Linked DNA regions of Caenorhabditis elegans. The protein of the gene in region 1 interacts with the protein of each later gene in a pairwise test. Each region holds a gene or a part of one and is shown on either strand. Other genes may lie near its edges. The genes, in order: F20B10.3 and R02F2.5.

Region 1 (8,269 bases):
TTTCAGAGTGTGGCTGAAGATAATAATTTTTTGGAATTTAGAGTAAATTTTTACTGGCAGCTAAACTAAAACCGGAATTTCAATTGAATTTTGAACGGTGAGTGCCGATTTTTTTGTTTATAAAAATATTCAGAAATGAATGAGTGAATCTGTGAAATTTTAACAAATTTGGGTGTTTGTGGTTGACGATAATAATTTTTGAAACTTGCATTTTTTTTTTGGAATTTGGAGTAAATTTTTAATATACTGCTGAAAGTTGTTCCAATTTTGAAGAATAACTTGAAAGCCTTTCCAAGAACAGATCGTTGTTGAAAATTGTAAAATTAGTGCAAACCGTTCCAAATACACTCGGCATTTGGCTCCAGCTTCCTGCCCAAGGTTGGTCAGAAAAATATTAATTTGGTTCAGAAGTTGGCTAAACTTGGGAAAAAATTGGACAAGACTTTGGCTGCGACAAAAATTTCACCCAAGTTTGGCCCAACTCTTGCCAAACTTTAACGCACGTTTAATATAAAGCAAGAAAAGTTCCGGCCAAAGTTTGACAAGAGTTGGGCCAAACTTGTGTTAAACTGTCGCAGCCTACATCTAAGTTTAACAAAAGTTTTCGGGCCAAACTTAGACAAGAAGCTGGAGTCAATGCCGAGCATACAACTTCAGGGCAAACTCATGTACATACACCTAAGAATGTGAAGCAGCTGCCAAGGAATCAGAGTCAATTTTTATAATACATTTTAAAACAAAATTCTAAAGTTTTTATTCGCAACCTACGAGCTTGATATTTTAATTAGGTTTTAATTAATAGCGTCCAAACACTTTAAAGGTTACAGTTTTAAAATTGTCACAATTTTGATTTAACAACCTTTGGCTTTGAACTCTCTACAGTTCTTTGCTTTTACCATTTTTGATTTTGAACTACCTTAATTTTTTTGGGTTATTTTGCTGTAAGTCGTCACAATTTTGAATTTGTTACGTTGATAAAATGCATCTAAAACAGAACAACAAATTGCATGTAAAACTATTAAATAAACAGTTTCCAGAACAATATTTGTCATTTCAAGTGAGATAAAAAGTTAAGGGAAATGTGCGTCATGCTTTTTCAAATTTGTTCTAATATTTGCATTCTCTCTGTCTTCTCTCCTCGTCGCAACAATTGGTGTGAATCCCTCCAAAAATGTTTCCGGTCTTATCACTCATGTTCTTTGCTCTCATTTCCTTGGTCTCGGAAAGGTGCAAACTGTCTTTGTGCTGTGCCAATCTTTCTTCCGAATTCCAAATTCGCAAAGTAAAGTCTCCCGTTTTGTCATTTGATTAGACTAAAACACACGGAATCTCCGAGAAGAAATAAGCAATGATGATGATTTGTTGTGTTTGTCTGCTCAAATGATAGGGGGAGATCATTGAAAACGTGTTTCGGTCACTTTTCGAACGATGTGATTCTTATCGAGAATGCCGATAAATTCACCCACGCCTTTTTCAGGTACTTCAGGGGAAAAAGAGCAAACACATACGTTGTTGGAATGTTTTTGATATCAGATTCCGTCATCATGGGAACATTTTTGATCAATAGAAGCTGGCAAGAAGTTTCTAAATATTTTCAAGTTTGACAAAAAGTTTCTTCAGATCGGCAAGAAGTTTTTCAAAAAGCTGTGCTTCGCATGCGATAAGCTATTTAATAAATTGTCAAAGGCTTTTTTAAACGTTTCAAAGCTTTACAAAAATTAATTAACCATAGCGACAAGGTTGCAAAAGTTTCCCAGAAAATGCCAAAATTTTTCAAAAAGTTGTGAAAAATAGAAGTTTGCAAAACTGCCACAAGTTTCTGAAAATTTGTTAAAACTTTCAAAGTAGTTTTCAAAAATGTTCCAACTTTTCCAAGACGGTGGAACAGATTTTGAAAAAGTTTTCAAGTCTTTCCAAAGGTTTCAAAAATTTGCTAAAAAGCTGAAAAAGTTATCCAAAGAGTTTCTAAACTTTTCGAAGTTGTCTTGAAGTGGGCACAAAAAATAGTATGCAGATGTTGAAAGTTGCCAAAAAGTTGCAAAAATTTGTGGAAAACTTTTCAAGGTTGATCAAAAGTTTCAAAAGTTTACCAAGTAGCCTTGAAGTGTGCACCAACTTCTGAAACGGTTTCTATACAGAAATACTGTGACCATTTTCTGGAGGAAACTGGCAAAAAGTATTTGAAAAGTTGGGAACTGTTTTGGCGAATGTTAAAGTTGAAGTTGAAGCTGTAAATTTTGAATTTTTCGGGAAATATTCTGGAGATATTTTATAGTCCACGGACATATAACTATTTAGTAAAATTCTTCCTATGCTCCATTTCAAAAGTACCAGGTTCAGCATCTCCCAATGTCAACTCAATGAATCATACTCTTATAATAGCACTCGAAAGTTCACATGCTCATGGAACCTGTTTAACTTCTGCCGCTGATGTCACTTATTAAAACTTTAATGATGACACATCAACCTCAACTTTAGACATTATGATTTCAATGTTAAAATCACTTCAAAGTACTGCGTATGTCTTGTTTCCGCGTCGGCTATTGCTCCTGCTCCCACGCCAAACTGACCTGTCCTGTTTTGTGTGTGTATTTGTGCATGTTTGCAAATGAGTGTGCACAATCTCTCCTCCAGACACACTTTTTTTCGACGACCGGAGTACTACGTGTGCGAGCTCATCTTCGAATCCATCGAGACAACGGCCGGCCCCGGTAATATTTACTTTGAGACCAAAAGTCAACGTGTGTCCTCTTTAAATTTATTGGAACAATTAGTGTACTCAAGGTGAGAACATGATGAAAAACTGGAAAAAAATGAGAAAAAATTGAGAGCAAAAGAGCAATTACCTGAAAGAAAACAAAACAAATATGTGGCAAAATGATGGGGTTACCCTGAAACTTCAAAAGTTGACAAACATATTTGAAGAAAGTCCAGATGCTTTTTTTCAAAAAAAAAATGTAGAAGTCAAGCGTAACTTGCTTTGAAAATGCCTACCTTGCTACGCATAACATTACTTTTTACAATTCTCTAACCGAATAGGTCACAGATTTTATAAGCTTTGTTTTATTTATAAAACATTTTATAAAAAAATATTTACTGTTTCTGGTAAATAATATACCAAATATTACAATTAAATTTCCAATTAGGCATGTAACGTGACTACAAAACATGCCTACTTAAAAAGGTAAGTGTCACTTTTAAGGCAAGTTAGTCATGTCTAGTAGGCATGCAGATAGGCTTTCTTTACTTTATATACCTACGGGGAAGACTTATATTTTAAAGAAACGAAAACTTTTGAAAAGGTGAACACATCTTAAATATTGTTTTGATGTAGGCACAAAAATTCGTACATGTCTGCCTACAAAGTAGGATTAACTATTACTATTACAAGGTTTGATGAAAAACTTTGTCGGTACAGTGAGCTTAGGCTAGGTACGCCTATAGGCACGCTAGCAGGCAACCTTTTTTTTCCATGAGCACCCAAGCTCCAAAGGTTCTCTCAAGAAAAAATAAAACAATTGCAAAATTGAACCGTACTTTGTAGTCCACAGCAAATGTCATATTGTCTTTTAAAATTGTCAGTGCCTTGTCTCTCTCTTTTTCCGCGCGCGCGGCGCCTCTCGCGTAAATCAGCGGAGAGGAGGAGCTCATGGAAACAAACAAGGAATTGAGAAGGCGGGCACACGCAACTTACTCGACGTGGCGTTTTCTTATGTGCCAGACTATAAAAGAAGCATGGAACAGAGAGTGACAGGTACACACTTCTTTTACTCATTTTCAATTTTTTTAAAAACATTTTCCAAATTTTCTAGTTTTTGAAGAGCTTTGCATATTTATTTTTTAGAAAAAAATGACTCGTCGTTTTGCCCTTATTGCTTTGTTGTTTGCATTGACTTCTGCACAAACTACAACTCAATCAAAACAAATCAGTCTGGATCCGAACGCTGGACCACTCAAACTTCGCATTGTTTTCCAATCCGAACAGCCACCACAGGTACTTTGAATTTACCTTTCATTTTTAAAATTGTTCTATCTTTCCTGAAGGTTCAACAAACTCCGTGTTCTACCGGTAACTGTCAGCCCACGCCGACCTTGAGCCCATGTGCTTCTGGAAATTGTGGCTCAGTTCAGCCAGTTCAAGCTTCTCCGTGCTCTACTGGAAACTGCGGAGTCACTCAACAGGCTTCCGCATGCTCTACTGGCAACTGCAATGGACCTGTCGCTGGATCTGCCAATGTTGTTCCAGTTTTTGATGCCTCGATCTACACGGTATCCCAAACAAAACTTCCAACTCATTGTACTTTTCAGTTTTCAGACCACGACCCCAATGCCTATCCCAATCCGAACCATCTCTTCAAACACTGCACCAATCAAGGTGATCCGTGTTCCATCTTATTCCAACTCGAACAACGGATGCTTCTCCCCACCATGCGGAGCTCCAAGATTCATTTTCGCTCAACCACCATGCTTCGGAAACTCGTGTGGTCCACGATTCATGTTCCCACGTCGTCGTCATTTCTTCGGACCACGACCAATCATCATCGGAAACAGAAATAACGGAAACATCAATGCCGGAGGAAATGTTGCTGTTCCAGATACAATCTACAAGAACGGAATGGCAATTCGTGCTCCAATTCGTGTGCCAAGCAGTTATCAAGATGGGAACCCAGTATTCAACTCTGGAAAGTAATCTCCTTTCAGCTCAATGTCATCACTACTTGTTTGTAATTATTGAAATCTCTTTCACATTCATATCTCATTGTTGGTTTTCTTTACATAATTTATGAGAGTTTTAAAATAAAAAGTTAATAAGTGTTTGAAAATATGTTAGAAAAGAATACAAAATTCCACAATTTTTTTTAAACCTTTTCGCAGATAAAAAAATTCTCCATAATTCTCAGTTTTAAAAATTTTGAAAACCAGTGAAGTCTTGATAATCCATATTTTCCATAATTCTCAGTTTTAAAAATTTTGAAAACCAGTGAAGTCTTAATATTCCATATTCTCCATAATTCTCGGTTTTAAAAATTTTGAAAACCAGTGAAGTCTTGATATTCCATATTCTCCATAATTCTCGGTTTTAAAAATTTTGAAAACCAGTGAAGTCTTGATATTCCATATTTTCCATAATTCTCGGTTTTAAAAATTTTGAAAACCAGTGAAGTCTTGATATTCCATATTCTCCATAATTCTCGGTTTTAAAAATTTTGAAAACCAGTGAAGTCTTGATATTCCATATTCTCCATAATTCTCAGTTTTAAAAATATTGAAAACCAGTGAAGTCTTGATATTCCATATTCTCCATAATTCTCGGTTTTAAAAATTTTGAAAACCAGTGAAGTCTTGATATTCCATATTCTCCATAATTCTCGGTTTTAAAAATTTTGAAAACCAGTGAAGTCTTGATATTCCATATTCTCCATAATTCTCAGTTTTAAAAATTTTGAAAACCAGTGAAGTCTTAATATTCCATATTCTCCATAATTCTCGGTTTTAAAAATTTTGAAAACCAGTGAAGTCTTGATATTCCATATTCTCCATAATTCTCGGTTTTAAAAATTTTGAAAACCAGTGAAGTCTTGATATTCCATATTTTCCATAATTCTCAGTTTTAAAAATATTGAAAACCAGTGAAGTCTTGATATTCCATATTCTCCATAATTCTCGGTTTTAAAAATTTTGAAAACCAGTGAAGTCTTGATATTCCATATTCTCCATAATTCTCGGTTTTAAAAATTTTGAAAACCAGTGAAGTCTTGATATTCCATATTCTCCATAATTCTCAGTTTTAAAAATATTGAAAACCAGTGAAGTCTTGATATTCCATATTCTCCATAATTCTCGGTTTTAAAAATTTTGAAAACCAGTGAAGTCTTGATATTCCATATTTTCCATAATTCTCAGTTTTAAAAATTTTGAAAACCAGTGAAGTCTTGATATTCCATATTCTCCATAATTCTCAGTTTTAAAAATTTTGAAAACCAGTGAAGTCTTGATATTCCATATTTTCCATAATTCTCAGTTTTAAAAATTTTGAAAACCAGTGAAGTCTTGATATTCCATATTTTCCATAATTCTCGGTTTTAAAAATATTGAAAACCAGTGAAGTCTTGATATTCCATATTTTCCATAATTCTCAGTTTTAAAAATTTTGAAAACCAGTGAAGTCTTGATATTCCATATTTTCCATAATTCTCGGTTTTAAAAATTTTGAAAACCAGTGAAGTCTTGATATTCCATATTTTCCATAATTCTCAGTTTTAAAAATTTTTAAAACCAGTGAAGTCTTGATATTCATATACAGTCAATACATAAAAATGGGAAATTTCTAAACCTCCGTCAGTCTAGTGTCAAATGCAAATTTTTATTCGCAAAAAGAAATTAGTGGTTTTTTCAGAAATTTCTAAAAAAAAGTAACATAATTAAAATTCAAATCATTTATTCAACAGATAAAAATAACCCGTTTCAAGAATCATCAGACGAAAGACAATTTGTAAAAAACTGAAGAGAAGTTATGGAAAAAGTGAGAATCAAGACCCGAACGAAAAATTTAAGTGGCAAGTTTCAGAAATTTCAGCAGAAATACTCTTTGTTGGAAGCATATGTTGGATTATTATTATTATTGCTAGTTGTATTATGTACTAAAGGCTCTTCACTTCGACTTGGAGAACAGTTTTCACCTGGAAAAGATACATTTGTAAAATGGAAAATTTACAAATTCTATTTACCTGTCTCATTAGTTTTATAGACACCTTCTGGTCGAGACCTCATGTAACAAATCAATGAACTCATACACAGTATGAATAGAGAAAGTGCCAAGATACCACCTCCAATTACTGCAATTTTTTAAAAATTGGATTTATTTTTAAAGTTAATAAATTTGAACTCACTTGCTTTTGACACTAGATCTTGTTTATTTTGGGAAACGGAAAATATTTTGATATCCTCCGTCGATGTTTTTATTGTGGAGGAGATTAGGTCTGGTTGCGGGTTGAAATCGTACATTTGTTGACGAGATCTGAAAATTGTAATTTTTAGGTGAGAAATAAGACTGCAAATGTATGATTATAAGGCCCTAATAGCACTATAATAGATAATATAGGACCACTTACACAGCTTCTATTGGGCATGTTCCAAATCGAATTTTCCCCGAATAGTTTAGTCTTGCAGTTTTTGGATTCTTTAACGGGAATGCGGATCCGGTCTGAATTCGAGACACACAACCTTCGAAATCTGAAAATTTAATGTTTAATTCCAATTATTTCAAAAAACCAGATCAACGTACTTTCATCAAGGAAATGCCAAACATTGAAACTTTCGAAAAATGTCCAATTTCCTTCAATCGTAATCACTTGCATCCCATCAACTGATACATTGAAATGATGTTTCGAAGCACAAAATGAGATGTCATGCATTATATCATCACTCAGATTATGTCGTTTTGATTGTCTCTTGAAATGGAAAAAGAATCCATCGTAAGCCATCATTTGTAGGTTTCCTGAAATAAAGACAATTTTATAGATAACGTTTATTTGGTCTGTCGGTTTTCAGAATTTGCGATTAATTTTTTGCGCAGTTCTGTGACGTCCCAGTTCTATGATTTCTCATAAAATGTTTCAAGAAATGCCAGTAGAAAACAGGTGTTACTTCACAGTTTCCAAAATTTGACATGTTACGGCAAAGTGAATGGCTTTTTTTCATATCAATTTATTTAATTTTATTTAAATTTACAGAGGAAAAATATTTCAAAAATAACCTCCAGAGCAACTAACCATTATCATCAACAGTCATATTGAACGTTGAGTCCGCAAATAATGCTTTTGACCTCAGAATCGTTGTATTCCTAGAAGTCGTCTGAATTGCAATCCGATGGCACATAGCTTGATGAGCTGGATTCTGCCATGGAATCTGGATAGACGATCCAGCAGGTACCATCATTCCATATTCTTTTGTACAATCACTTCCACCGAATGGTGTCATACTACAGTCGCACACGTATCCATCGTACTTGTCAACACATTGACCTCCATTCTGACAGAGATCCGGTCTACAGTATCCATCGTCACCGATTGCGACTCCTGAACCTTCTCAATGAGTTAATTTCCAACAAAATTATTTTTACCTCGTTCAGTTTCTTTCCTCGCATACTGTCCTAATGCTAACTCGACACCACAAAGATGCACATTTCGAATGACTCCAGCAAATCCAGTCGATCCTTTTTCAGTTCGTGATCCAACAATCCACATGTAAACTGTTGGAAGAATAAATG
Region 2 (8,285 bases), on another chromosome or scaffold:
TGTAATTTAAAAATTTCTGAATTTGAAATTGCAAAATGTAATTTTTAGAAACGAAATCAGAATTGCTAACGAGTTCATCAGTACCTCTAATCTTCTTGGCCATGGTTTCGGAAAACTTCTGCAAAACATGAAGCAAGGAATTCCTGTGGTAATTCAGAATACGTGGAGACAAGAACGTAAAGGTAACTATATAAATATTAAGAACTTAAATTCAATTTAAAAATTTCAGCGGACGCCTTAGCTCTTGCCTATCCCTTCCTAAGCCTCCTCCTAGCTGATCAGGTATATGGAGACCATCAAAATCTTGAATCTTTGGCAGAATTCTGGAAAAATCAAGTTTTACCGGAGAAATCCATGAAAAAAGATTTTGGAATGAGAATGGTCAGTGCTTTAGCCGGCGGTGAGCCTGGACAGTTGCCAGAAACGAAAATCGACGAGAATCAACTTGAAATGGTGAGAAATATCTTGTTTTATTTAAAAGTTTTATTTTAATTTTCAGCTCTCAAAGATCTACGAAAATCATCTGGAATTCTACACTGGAATTCTCTCAGAATCCACGTGCTCTCAGCTTCTTGCCAAAGTAATTGAGGATAATTTAGCCAAAAATGAGGTAAAAATTTGAAATTTTCAGACGATTTTATTTTTTAAAATTTCAGCTAAAGCAACTTGCCCGTCGATGCCAAACTGCTGAAGTATGCATGTCCCCGTGCATTTACTACGCGATGATTTCAGTTTTACGGAGCACTTTTGACCTCAACGATTCGGAGCTCATTTTCATCGAAAACTTGAAAACGTTGAAGTATGGTGAAAGTTTGATAGAAAATTATATAATTTTCATTGAAAAATAGCGAAAAATCAGTTGAAACCAATCAATTAATCTCGATTTTAAATTAAAAATCAGTCTGGATTTTTTTAAATTAACCTTTATTTTTTTTTTCAGACTAAAAGAAATCACAAAGCATCTCCCTTCAATCATCAATTCCTGCTCCAACACTCGCCAAATTACCGCTAGCAAGAAGCTTAAAAATCTCGAAAATCTTCAGGATTTCCTTCACAATGTCACAGAAAAACCGGAAAACGACAATTTCTCGGCTGCTTTTGCCCTTCTTTCAATCAATATTTCACTAATCTTCGATAACTGGAACTTTTGCGAGAAAATCCTGAAAACTCTACCGAAGGACGTTCTGGAAAAGCTGATAAAAGCAGGAAAGGGATCTGAAAATGAGAATATTTTGAAGGTTTTCAAGAAAGTGGCTCAGGAAGCTGCTCCAGTCAAATTTGTGAATAGAACCGCCGCGGATGTCGCTGAGAAGCTCCGAGAGCCGGAATTTGCAGTGGCAGAAGCCTTAAGCTTGCTCCAAGGAGTTCATACAGCGGAGACGAAAAAGGAAGTCTTTGGTAATCATTTTTAATTACAACTATTAAAAAAAATAATTTCTTTTACCCAAGTTTTTTGCAGATTCTGTTGTAAAATTCGTCGAAGAGATTCCTGGAGCCGAGAGCATTGACGAGATGAAGCTTTTCAAGTTGATAATTGAAATGTATGGTGGAAGTCAACTGGAATCATTAGCTGTTCAAGTAGTGTTTTCACGAATTGCTGCCGACGGTTGGACTGAAATGGATCGGGCTCCGGGAACCGAGAAATCTGATGAATCATGGTTTACAGTACTTGTGGAGACGATTGATCTGCTTGATATAGCAATGAAATCGGCGAAGAATTCAGTGCTAAAATCATTCACTGCACTTTTCTGTCAACTTTTTAGCCAAGTTTTGAAGAATTCTCAAAAATTCGTGAGGAATAGTCTGAACGCGGTCGCGTCGCGTACACTTTCGCCTGAAATGGAAACTGAATTTGTGCTCCGCCGTCATAAATTGAGTCAGGATTTGGCAAGATTAGTAGATGCAATGAAGAGGAATGAATCGTATTTTGCAATGGTAAGATTTTGAACATTTTAGAAAAAATTTAATATTCTTGAAAACTCGAAATAAATAAAAAATCAAAAACTGGGAGTTTTTCGATGGTTAAACTATTTTTGAAAAAAATTTTTAAAAAAGTATTTTAATTTGAAAAATTGTTTTTTGAACATCGTCCATTTGTCGATAATTAAAAAAATTTATACGAATTTTAATATTAAAAAAATCGTGAACACTATTTTTTGAGTCGTTTGTCTAATGGGGTTATTCAAGTAATGTAGCAAAATGCATTTAAATACATTTGTGACGTCACAAATGTATTTAAATACATGTTTTTATCTACTTGAATAAGGTTGTGACGTAATTTTTCTACACTTTTTAATTTTCCGACACTACTTGAATAACCCCATAACAAATTACATAAATTTTTTTCTAGTTTTTAAATATTGAAAAAAAAGAAGAAAAATTGTAGAAGTTGGAGAAGAGTTTTAAAAAACATTTAAAATTAAAGTTCTTTTTTGAAAACCCATTTTAAAACGTTTTATCTTTTTTTTCAGGATTGTCAAATTGATAAAAATGAGAACTAGTATTTCTTGAGAAATTTCCCTTTTTTTTAAAGAAGAAAATAGACATTTTAATTTTAAATAATCTGTAATAATCACTATTTCTTCTCGAACTCGATTTTTTTTAAAAATTCTGTCAACTTATTAATTTTCGAAATTAGGGGGAGCTTGTTGAGTATGTTTTGGTAAAAGTTACCAAGAAAAACGACTAAATTGAAATTTTAAAAAAACCTTCAATTATTCTCAAAAACGGTCTAAATTTTTATTCTTCAGCTGACTGCATCAATCATTGGAGACGCAGTATTCTATGGATCAGACAGTCTACTTGCCATGTCAAAACTACATTCACTGGCCGATAAAAATGCATCCGCGTTGCTCGCCACGAATCTTCCAGTTGTTGAGAGAACCCGATACAAGAAGTTCCTTTCTACGATCACGAGGGCTTCGAAGCGAATTTATTAATTGTTTTTTTTGTTATAATATCCATTTTTATGTTGTTGATTGTTCATCTTGTTCTGTTGATTTTTAAGTGTTCAATTAAAAAATTTATTCCAAAAAAACACAAAAGAGTTCAAAAAAGTCAATAGAATCCGCATCCATAACCACCATATCCTCCATACCCGAAATCAAAACCTCCGTATCCATATCCTCCATAAAATCCATTATAATATGGGTCGAACATAACACCACCTCCATAATATGGATAAGGGCTCATGATCACTGGCGGCGGAGCCATGACAACTGGAGCCACCGGAGCAGCACCCATGACCATTGGTTGGGATCCATAGACCACGGGAGCAGCTTGTTGTTGTTGAGGGTAAGCTTGAGCAGGTGCAGCCGGAGTTGCCTGGGGAGCTGCCTGAGGAGCTGGTGTAGGTGCCGGGACTGGGGCTCGCGGAGCAGACTTTCTCTTCTCCACTTCCTTTTCAACCTCTTTCTCCGTTTGGTCGATGCAAGTAAAAAGCTCTGGATCTTCAGGCGTTGGTGATGGCTCCGCAACTCTCTCCGGTGGTTCTGCAATCGTTACTCTCCTATTTTTGGGCTCCACGACTTTCTCAGGAGCTTTCGGTGCTGCTGGAGGTGCGTAGGCCGGTGGAGGTCCCTGTGGGATCCCTTGAGGCTGCTGTCGAGGGTATGCCTGAAAAATCGATATTTTCTTTTATTGATTTTCGGAAAATTATCGATTTTCCCTACCATTTGCTCTGTCGAGGCGTTTGGAGATGGTTGAGTGTGCTGACGATTCTGAAAAGTTGAGGTACAAGGAGGAGTTCTTGAGCTTGACTTCAAGGCGACCTTCGTCTGCCTTGTGTCTATTCAGTTTTTTTTATGGAACCCGGAACAGGGATTATAGGCAGGCACGGTCACCTCATATGAAACTTGGAGACTTACCATTTGGTCCGAGCGTTGGTTGTTCCGTTGATTATTTCTAGCTTTCTTCGATTGACAGCATCCCATTTTTCATCGATATATTTGAGTTCTTTTGATTATAAAGTAAGTTGGGAATAAAATTTTTTAGCGGCAAGTTTGAACATTTGAAAAATAAATCATTTCCAAAAAAATAACTGCAAGGCGTTCACGCAGAAATGGAAGCGGCCGACACTTTCCTTTTTCTAATGCCAGCAGTCGACACTTCCCGTGGATAAATTTTGGTGGATCAATTTGCCAGTTTCGGACCGATTAACTAATTTTTAGAAAACAATCTCAGACTATTTTTATTGCAAAAAAAGGATCAATTATCAATTATTTCTTATCGGAAATATTTTCAAGTCACTTCATCTTCTTCTTACTTTTCATTTGACATCTCGATTAAAACATAAACGGATCACAATAGAATGGATCACCGTAGTACATTCCACCTCCATAACATGGATAAGGATCCACAATGACCACTGGCGGAGGAGCAGCCACTACGACTTGCTGTTGCGGTGGATAGTATGGCTGTTGAGCCCCATACGCAGGAGGCGGTTGTGGCTGGTACGGGAGACCTGGAGACGGTTGTTGACGTTGAGGTTGTGGAGGCTTCTGTCCATTGGGAGGTGGAGCTTGTTGCTGCTGCTGCTGTCGAGGTGGAGGTGGAGGTTGATTCCTATTCTGAGGTTGATTCTGGGCAGGATAGGGGCCTGATTGGGTTCCGGTTTGATTCTGAAAATATAGTTTTTGAGACGAGGAATCTCTAAAAATGAATGCTGTCGAGATTGTAAAAGGTGTGCAAAACTATAGTGACTCTACAGTAACCAGGTAATAAACCTGCGCCAACCGTACCCCTAACAACACGTAGTACTTTGGTTTCAAAAGAGTTCGCAGCGAAAGCTGATGCAAGCTTAAGCGTACAAGTACAGTATTACTACAGTAACACTGTAATTACAACGATGAGCTACCGTAATCTTGCAATAAACCTATGAAACCCGCTACCGTACCACTACAGTAAACCAATCGAAACTTGGTTCTGCAGAGCGTAATCCTACAGTACCTACCATTTGTTGTCCATTTCGATTTGAATTCCTACTATTCTGCTTGTTTTTTGAACCGCAGCATCCCATTTTCTCACGGCTTTCAGAAATGAATTTCTTTGAGTTTGAAATTGATTTTTGGAAAGTTTTACACGTAAATGTTAAACTTTTCGACTTTTTAAATTATTTTTTTCCAGATTTTTATTATTATTATTTAGGCACGAATGAAGTTCAATTTGAGACAGCTAACATTCACGAAAATAGGGGTTAACAAGGAAGGCGCGAAGGCAAACACAGGTAGGCACGAGGGAGTGAGATAGGCGGATAGGCTTGTAGGCTCAAAATGGTGTATGGACCTGAAAATGTTGATAATAACGCTGATAAAAACGTTGATAAAAACGATAGAATTGTACTGTAGTTTTTATTGAATATCATCAATTCGTAGAAATCTCGGTATATCACCAATACATACACATACACCTATATATATAAATGAATAAATAAATGCAGCGGTATGCACACCCGTTCGGTAAGCAATCCAAGTAGTTCATCCGGTATTAAATGTGGGAGAAGGTAGGGTACCATGAAAGAAGCTTAAACTCTCATTCGGAACCCGTCGTTGTTTTCTTCTTCTTCTTCTTGATTATTGTCAGCTCCCTCAGCTTCTGGTTCATCGGGCTCACAAGTTGTCGTTGGTTCCTCAGTTGTTGTAGATGTTGTGGTGGATTCCGTTGTTGTAGTCGGAGCCTCGTAGTTCTTTGGCATGTAGCAGAGCCCTTGGTAGCAGGCTGGAGCATTTGCTGGGCAGTTGGAGCATTTTCCATTGTCACCGGAAGCCCAGGTGAAAGCTGGCATCTGGAATAAGGAGTTCAGTGAAAATTAATATTTAATTTTTGGTAAAATAAGAACTGAGTTCCAATTTTTTAATGAAAATCAGCAATACCAAAAGTTGTCAACTAAGAAAATTGCTCAAATTGAGTTTCAAATCATCTAGCAAATTTGAAGGGGGTCACTTTTGAACAGCTATATCTCCTTGAAAATCATAAGTTTCAAAACAATTTAAAAAAGGGGAAATCTTTTTACAAGAAAAAGTTTATACTGTTATACTGTTTTCTGCGGACTCTAGGTCCTTCTGCAAAAATACGAAAACTTGAAAATATTTAACGAAAATAGAAAACTATTAATTTTGAAACTGTATCATTCAAACGGTTAGAAATGGTTAGAAATGGAAAACATCTTGAAGATGTCCTTATTCAAACGATGACTTGCGGAGCTTGTAAATATTAAATAATTGGCAATTGGCAATTTATTCAAACATTTTTTGACTAACATTTACCAGTTGACAATTTTTGAGAACTCTTACTTTTACAAAGTTAAGGCGTTTGAAGATTTCGAACAAAAATTTAACATTTTCAAACTCGGAACTGCTGGATATCAGCAGAGAACAGTCAGATCAAAACATTGTCAACTAAAATGTTTTTTAAAAATATTTTGAGATCTACAATGTTTAAGTTAGAAATTGTTTGATCTTCCCGCAGTTTCATCAAAATTGAATTTTAAAAGTTGTTAACTGCTACATTTGCCAATAATGCATTTAATAACTCTTACTTTGACCAAGTTACAATTTTTCAATTTTTAACAATTATTTTTTAAACCCTTGCTTTTTAGCGGAGAGTGGTCGGATCAAAATATTGTCAACGGACAAAATGTGATAATTTGTACATTTCACCAATTGACAATTTCAATCAACAACCTTCAGCAAAGCCAAAGGAGACACCAGCCCACAAGAAACCAAATTCACTGCACTCAAATTAGGCGAAAGCAACGGTTAGCAAGAAACTCAAAATAACATAAGTGAGGGAGACAAGGACGTACGAACCGCATAAAGCTGTCCTCTCGCAGTGACGAATACCGTATTTCCCTGTGGATTGTAGTGACAGACGAATACGTTACGATGTCCACGTCCCCAGACACCCTGAACGTCACGGCAACGGGAGAAGCCGCATCCGACGAGATTCGTCTTTGCCCAGACAACCTAAATTAGTTGATTTTATTTAATTTGTACACTTAGAAAAAGGGATTAATAGAACCTGAACATAGTGACCGCAACAGTGTTTATAGGCATGGTTACATCCACATCTTGGATTATGGACCTACAAAAGATTGATGGTAATTATGGAAGATGCAAGGAAAATAGAAAAATATTTGAAATTACCTCGTTGAACCAGATCGAGATAGCGTCAGAATAGTTACTGTACGGCGCCGCCCAGATGTTTTCGCCGACGTTGATGCGTCCACGGGAGTGACGGAAATCACAGGTGTCCGCGTGGCGTTGAGCTGAAGCGGCCAGCTCATCGGACCAGTAGAGCATGTTCATGTCGGAGGCAGGCACCTGGAAGAACCGGAAAATTTAGTGCCGGATCCTTATAGAGCGTGGCTTTAAAAAAATTACCACCAAAGCATAGCATAGTTTAAGTAACACCAGTCACACGGTCATGAACACCAACCTCTCACAGAGATTTTAATACTTGTTCTAAAGTTTCAATTTTTCTCTTATCAAGTCTACGTGCCCGTGATCAGAATACAAAGATCTTTTCCTTTTTTCTAATAAATATTATCAAATAGAATAATTAGGAGAAGAACGAGATTGTCTAGAAGGTTATTGATAGCGAATATTTTTCAAAAATTCTCGCGTAAACATTTGAACTTTCACGTCCATGCGCCCCAATATTGGTGGCCTAGAAATTTCAAGTGGAAGAAGGAGTGACGTCATACATCAAAAACTTTGTGTTGTTATACATCTCAATAACTGTATTTGGAAAATGGGATAACGGCGTGATAACTTCATACATTTAAACTTCAGTCAAATATGTCTGAACCCCTATTAGATATAGAACTTCCTTAATCTGTTTCCAATTACAAGGTAAGATTTTATCTAGATGTATATACTATTTCAAAATCTTGATATTCCTCATTTTCTCCATGACTAATTCGAAAAATGACTCATCACTTACCATACGCCTATACCGATTATGCTCGTGAGTAATCCATTTTTTGAGATATTCATTCGGATGTTCGGATCTTGAAAGAAGACCACTGTCACTTTGGAAATGTGACGGGAAGAAATAGCCACGCTTTTCCCGTTTCACCTCATCAGTGGCGGGAAGTTCACCGTCCAAATCGTTTGGGCCGGAGTGGGAAGTTACGGCTTCACCTGAAATAAAACGTTTAACTAGCAATATTAATATAATGCAATATTTTACCAGTTAACAAAGTTTTCAGATATCTTACGCGATCGCGGAAATAAATGAGTTTGAAATCAGGCAGCCCCCGTTTTTAAAGTAGGCGGGGTGAATGG

The links.
Region 2: the proteins of F20B10.3 (region 1) and R02F2.5 interact in a two-hybrid assay, tested with the Caenorhabditis elegans proteins (2 studies listed by BioGRID).

What each region holds. Positions count from the first base shown.
Region 1 is NC_003282.8:12,164,400-12,172,668, forward strand, and holds F20B10.3 (CC domain-containing protein), read left to right. Parts: upstream 1-3,844; 5' UTR 3,845-3,850; coding exon 3,851-3,994; intron 3,995-4,044; coding exon 4,045-4,269; intron 4,270-4,315; coding exon 4,316-4,690; 3' UTR 4,691-4,817; downstream 4,818-8,269. Other genes in the region: nlr-1 (Neurexin like receptor 1), read right to left, coding at 6,574-6,680, 6,729-6,836, 6,891-7,018, 7,113-7,233, 7,286-7,498, 7,773-8,078, 8,123-8,269.
Region 2 is NC_003281.10:5,475,051-5,483,335, reverse strand, and holds R02F2.5 (Prion-like-(Q/N-rich)-domain-bearing protein), read right to left. Parts: upstream 4,019-8,285; 5' UTR 3,933-4,018; coding exon 3,867-3,932; intron 3,720-3,866; coding exon 3,672-3,719; intron 3,616-3,671; coding exon 3,058-3,615; 3' UTR 3,008-3,057; downstream 1-3,007. Other genes in the region: R02F2.7 (Myb-binding protein 1A-like protein), read left to right, coding at 1-1, 49-182, 230-453, 500-610, 657-799, 941-1,398, 1,460-1,935, 2,751-2,939; R02F2.6 (uncharacterized protein), read left to right, coding at 4,412-4,654; R02F2.10 (Prion-like-(Q/N-rich)-domain-bearing protein), read right to left, coding at 4,284-4,619, 4,952-5,017; Protein lon-1, read right to left, coding at 5,522-5,782, 6,807-6,962, 7,018-7,080, 7,143-7,319, 7,942-8,141.